Linked DNA regions of Saccharomyces cerevisiae S288C. Changing the gene in region 1 together with any one later gene gives a genetic interaction. Each region holds a gene or a part of one and is shown on either strand. Other genes may lie near its edges.

Evidence for each region. Genes that interact genetically often act in the same process or in processes that back each other up.
Region 2: mutations in AYR1 (region 1) and RTS2 together harm fitness more than expected from each alone (negative genetic interaction), as found in Saccharomyces cerevisiae (one large-scale study listed by BioGRID).

The regions. Positions count from the first base shown.
Region 1 is NC_001141.2:124,436-127,665, reverse strand, and holds AYR1 (acylglycerone-phosphate reductase), read right to left. Parts: upstream 1,463-3,230; coding exon 569-1,462; downstream 1-568. Other genes in the region: alpha-ketoglutarate dehydrogenase KGD1, read right to left, coding at 1,933-3,230. UniProt on the Saccharomyces cerevisiae protein: Can convert acyl and alkyl dihydroxyacetone-phosphate (DHAP) into glycerolipids and ether lipids, respectively. Required for the biosynthesis of phosphatidic acid via the DHAP pathway, where it reduces 1-acyl DHAP to lysophosphatidic acid (LPA).
Region 2 is NC_001147.6:469,978-473,097, forward strand, and holds RTS2 (Rts2p), read left to right. Parts: upstream 1-1,921; coding exon 1,922-2,620; downstream 2,621-3,120. Other genes in the region: SKI7 (Ski7p), read right to left, coding at 1-1,643; BUD21 (Bud21p), read left to right, coding at 2,748-3,120.

The sequences.
Region 1 (3,230 bases):
TTACTAAAAATAAAGCTCAGGTTAACTTAAATATTGTGGTTTTTAAAGGAATGTAAGTAGTTGGGTAGCACTAAACAAATGTTTTCTTGCTCGCTAGTTAATTTTTATAAAGGAAGGACTGTAAATAGTTGGAATTCGAGAGGGGAGCAAAGAAACTGTTTCTTTCAGTTCAAATGGTCTTGCTATAGTGTCTTATTCAACTGAGTAGATATATATATTTGAATATGCTGTTCTCACTTTTGAAGTAAGAGAGGGAATGCGAAGATAAATACAGAATAATTTCATGTAGTTTATAAATAAACAATGGCAATTTTGAAAAAAAAAAAACAACAAAGCACGATGCGAAATGAGCGAATTCCGTCCCAGCGCGTTTCAAACGGTAAGAGCAAAGAGAATGAGTGAAGTGACAGGAATTTGGCATACTGGTACGACGAGACGTAAACAATACTTAAAGAGCAGTTGAACATTAGCATTAGAACGATTATTAGCTATTGATGTCCTGACGTGGTGTACAAACTATACGGAATCTTGTATATAAATATAGGTAGCTATTGACGATGGTGAAACACTAATCGTCCTTATTCTTCTGTTTCGACTTCAAAGCATTATTAACTTTGTCCAATTTAAATTTTTTGGAAAGTCCTTTTTCCAATAGCCAGTAAGGAACAAATATCATGACAAAACGCATGATGTTGGCGAACGTTCCTCTATAAACATCTACAGGGTCACTAGTGCTCAAGATATCTTTAACCAGTTGCTTTGCGTACGCATCAGCTGGCATGGGCTTATTGTCCTTAGCCATGGTTTTTCTTGAATTAAAAGCTTCCCTACCTTCAGGGAAGTTGTATATTGAGGTTTCAGGCAAGGGCCTTTTATCAGCGATATCAGTAGCCACACCGCCAGTAATAGCGTTAATCACTCTCACGTTGAAGGGCTTCATCTCTAGATGTAACCCACGAGCATATTGGTGGATAGCAGCTTTAGAAGCGGAATAAATGCTACCAAAGGGGAATGACACAACTCCTGCCAAGGAACCAGTGAAGACAATGGTTCCTTTCGCTTTAATAAGGAACTCCGACAATTCACGGCACATGTTGATATGACCAAACACATTGACCTTAAAGCATTGTTCTACTGCAGCATCTGTTGCATCCAATGCAGGGAATGTACAACTCTGACCGGCATTGTTGTACAATAAATCTAATTTACCATCAGGTAAATTAGCTCGCAAAAAACCAGAAAATGTTACAATTTCTTCTGGCTTGGAAATATCCAACTTATATGGTTTGATACTATCGTTACCAAATTGGATGGCCAATTGTGCCATTGGTTCTAGTCTTCTTGCACATGCATAAACCAAATAGCCATTTCTGGCTAATTCCTTCGTTACCTCATATCCAATACCACCTGAGGCGCCTGTAACAACGGCAATCTTTTTAGGTTGTGACTGTAACTCCGACATACTCTTTGAAATCCTGATCAATATTTGAATTGAGTATATATTAATAGAAGTTGGGCATGATGAATAAAACTTATTCACTCTATTTACCTACCCCCTTCCCCCTTTCCATTGACTTATTTTTCACTTTTTTTCTCCACCGGATGAGGACAAGAGAAGCACCTAGCTGTGAATACACCAGAGGAGGAAGTAGGGGGAAAAAAACGATATCAATATAAAGTAAAGAATGATTCTTGAATAAATAGTAAATACAACTAATAAAAAAAGGTTCACATAAATAAAACGTTAAATTAAATAATTTTAAAAAGACTAAGCAGATGCTAACATCATGAACAAAAAAAAAATGTGAATGTATCAAAAAAAATATTTGTTAGATCATTCTTCAAGTAAAAAGGCTGTCCATAAACATTAAGGTAAAAATATTACGTGTTTATATGGCTGTATTTTCATGTTTTTCATATTTGAATTCATCTTTAGGATTGTTGGAAAACATCTTTCAAAAAGGCATCTTCTTCGGCCAAATGTAGTGATTTGCTACCGGCAGCAACAGCACCACTTGGGTTTCTACCACAGTATCTGACCTTGAAATCCTTATATTTATCCGTTTCTTTTAATGTTGTGTGTAAGCGTGGTTCTGTGTATGCCCACGAACCCATGTTCAATGGCTCTTCCTGGCACCAAACAATTTCTTCCAAGTTTGGATAAGAATTTAATGAATCACGTAGCTGAGCAAATGGGAATGGGTGCAGCTGTTCAATCTTTAAGAAAGCAGTGGTCTTATCACCCAAACTTTCACGTCTTTTATGTAGGGCAGTGTACACTTGGCCACTCAGCAAAACTAATCTCTTGGTTTCCTCTTTCGTACCAATACTTTTTCCATGTTCAATATCTTCGATAATCCATTGGAATCCGCCTTCAGTGAATTCGGAAAGAGATGATCTGGCCAATGGGTGACGCAGCAGCTGTTTAGAAAAGAATAACGCCAATGGTTTACGGAATTGACGATGTTGCTGTCTCCTTAGAATGTGGAATAAATTAGCAGGCGTAGTTGGATAAACAACCTGGAAATTACAATCCTGATGTTGTCTCTGTAGCTTTTCTTCAGATGGGAAATATCTTGGGTCTTCATTGGCTAGTTGCAAGAATCTTTCCAATCTACCAGACGAATGTTCTGGCCCCTGGCCATCATAACCATGGGGTAAAGACAAAACTAAACCAGAGCGTTGCTTCCATTTTTGTTCACCACCGGCAATAAATTGGTCAATAATAACCTGTGCTGTATTTGCAAAGTCACCGAATTGAGCCTCCCACATGACTAGATAATCTGGGGAGGTTAGCGAATAACCATATTCGAAACCCATTACACCGTACTCAGATAACGAGGAATTTGCAATGGTGAAGTCTGCCTTTTCATTATTCAGAGTGCTTAGCGGTGTGTAAATGGCTTCAGATTGTTGGTCATGCAAGACTGCATGACGTTGAGAAAATGTACCTCTTTCTACATCTTCACCGGAAACCCTAACGTTCTGACCATCCAAAACCAATGTACCGAACGCTAATGCTTCACCGGTGGCCCAATCGATGCCTTCACCTGTCTCAATAGATTTTCCTCTATTTTTCAAAATTCTCTTTAGATTTTTGTGCACTTCAAAACCTTCTGGCCACGAAGAGAGTACCTTACCTAGTTCTTTCAAAGTACTCTCTGGAACATTAGTTGGTTCATGTGGTAATATCTCAGTGGCCAATTCCTTTGGGGATTTGAATCCTTCCC
Region 2 (3,120 bases), on another chromosome or scaffold:
AGTGACACGTAATTTATCTCCGCTATCGGTTGAAGAACAGAAGATTGCAGTATTGTGCCTACAAATGGCTCTTCCAAAGTTGTTTCTATTTTGTTCATATTATGCTCTACCAATAGATATAGTTGCGAAAAAAATGTCGGACCTTCATACCATTCGGGAACATAATTTATAGAGTCAAATTCTGACTTATACTTAGATTTTGTGATGTTTTCAGTTTTATTCAAATTCGAACCTAATAAACCCGAACACGGGATAAATTGGAATTCTGCGTCTGTCCACTGAAAGTTTTCCTTCAACACATAATTTAGCTCAGACTGAATCATTTCTAGTCGGTGCTTATCCCAACTAATTAGATCTGCCTTATTCAAAAGAATTATCAAGTGCTTTTTGCATGCGGAATTCTTGTTCAAATAAGAGATCACTTTTAAAATTTCATAAATCTGATTATTTGGACCATCTAATGATTTTTCCCACGAGTCATAATTGCAATCAATAACCAATACATAAACTTCAGGATCAAAGGTCAAAATTGAGTTCAGAGTTTCTTTATTGAAGTATTTGATACTACCAGGAGTGTCTATAAGCGTCAAGGTTGATGATGGCGGTAGTAAATCATTTTCTACCTGAATAACTTTCTTAAACATGGAAAATCCATTTTCTCTTTCTGTTTTGGTATTGTCTAGAATGACCTTAAAACTATTTGAAGATGAAGGATCCAAATTACTGCTTTTTTTTTGTAGTTCCCTCATTGATGACATAGAAATTTCGTTTAGATCATATAAAAGATGACCAAGCAAAGTGGATTTGCCTGCGTTTGTATCACCGAGGAACAAACATGTCAAATTCAGAGGATGGGTGGCAATGAATGAATGAATATCAATCGACTCAGTAGGTGGTGTTTGAAGGTTAATTGGTTCCTTTTTTTCGGCCTTGGGCACAGATTTGATATTTAAGTTTTCTAATTTTTCATTGAAAGCATTAAGTTGGGCCGATTGTATTATATCATCAGGACTTGGTCTATTGAAATTCTCAATGGCTACTTTACGAGTTGTTTTCGGCAGGTTACAAGGCACAAAAATACCAAGGAGCTCATTGTTATGCTTTTTTAAGGACAGAAATGATGAATTCTGCGACGATAGCGGTATTGATGTACTCAACGAGTTTTTTTTATCTTTTATGATAAAGTTTGTGAACGCAAAATCGTCGGTTTGATTTATGCATGGATCGTTTTTCAAGAAACAGTAATGGTTCATTTCTTTAATAGCCTTCCATGACTCTTCTAAGTTGAGTTTATCATCAGGCGATTTCCTTTTGGTAGGGAGTTCGTTTTCTTTGCTGTCTAATGTCACTGATTTTCCTTGTTTCTCCAAATCACTATTTGACTTCTTTAAGGCAGACAACTTTAAACTCAATGAAACACTATGCTGGTTCGGGGTAAAGTCGCTTCTTTTTACCTTGTCTTTTGCAAGTAGCGTCTTCAGATCCTTCCTTTTTGTCTCAGCATTGTTATCTTTAGTTTCTCTATTCTTATGTAGTCTTTCTAGTAAGGATGCACTTTTCGATGTACTATGAGACTGGTCCGCACTTAAAAGGCCTTTAGATTTTTCTATTCTTTTTCTTGCTAATTGCTCTAATAACGACATGTCAGGTGGTACTGTAAGTTTCGAAGACCACCTCCTCGTACGTGTATTGTAGAAGGGTCTCTAGGTTTATACCTCCAATCTGTTATAGTACATATTATAGTACACCAATGTAAATCTGGTCCGGGTTACACAACACTTTGTCCTGTACTTTGAAAACTGGAAAAACTCCGCTAGTTGAAATTAATATCAAATGGAAAAGTCAGTATCATCATTCTTTTCTTGACAAGTCCTAAAAAGAGCGAAAACACAGGGTTGTTTGATTGTAGAAAATCACAGCGATGGCAGATTATGATAGTGCGAAATATTGGTCCAAGCAGGGAGCTCGTCGTGGGTTACAGAAAACCCGTTACTACTGCCAAATATGCCAAAGGCAATGTAAAGATGCAAACGGATTTCAATCACATAACAAATCGCCATCTCATTTAAGGAAGATTAGTCAAGTGACAGCTGAGGACGCTAGGCGCTACAATATCCAGTTTGAAAAGGGATTTCTACAGTTATTGAAGCAGCGGCACGGAGAAAAATGGATTGATGCTAACAAAGTATACAACGAGTATGTTCAAGATCGCGATCATGTACATATGAATGCCACCATGCATCGTTCTTTGACGCAGTTTGTCCGGTACCTAGGCCGCGCGGGCAAGGTAGACGTGGATATGGATATTGATGATACATCTGAGAACGTTGAAGGTCCTTTGCTTATCAGGATCCATCCCTCATCTTTATCATCACCTTCTGAAGATGGAATGCTGCGAAGTCAACAAGAGGAGCAAGAAGTCATAGCCGCCGAGCTTTTGAAAAGACAACTCAATCGTGCTAAGCGACAAACTGAAAAGGTATATCAACCAGAGATGAAATCGGAAATTAGCGGGGATAGCACTCTGAAACGTGTTCAAGTCACCTTCCACGGGAATGGTCGGGTAAATAAAAAGAAAAAGAAGGTTCCTCCACGGAAAGATGGTATCAAGTTCCGTTGATTGAAAATTTTTCTTTTCAAGCGATGAGGTTAGCGAAGTTGTTCGAACAAGCCCAAATATGTTTAGAAGGCAGTACGAATTGATACCCTGAACTGTTACTACCCGTATACACGTATTAAGTAAGACAATGAGTAATGGACACGTCAAGTTTGATGCCGATGAAAGTCAAGCCAGCGCAAGTGCTGTCACGGATAGACAAGATGATGTGCTGGTAATATCAAAAAAGGACAAGGAAGTGCATTCAAGTAGTGATGAGGAAAGTGATGATGATGATGCTCCACAAGAAGAAGGGCTTCACTCTGGGAAAAGTGAGGTAGAATCACAGATCACTCAGAGGGAGGAGGCTATAAGGCTGGAACAATCACAATTGCGGTCCAAGAGAAGGAAGCAAAATGAATTATACGCCAAGCAAAAGAAATCAGTGAATGAGACAGAGGTCACTGATGAAGTAATTGCGGAGCTTCCTGAGGAATTGCTAAAAAATATAGATCAGAAGGACG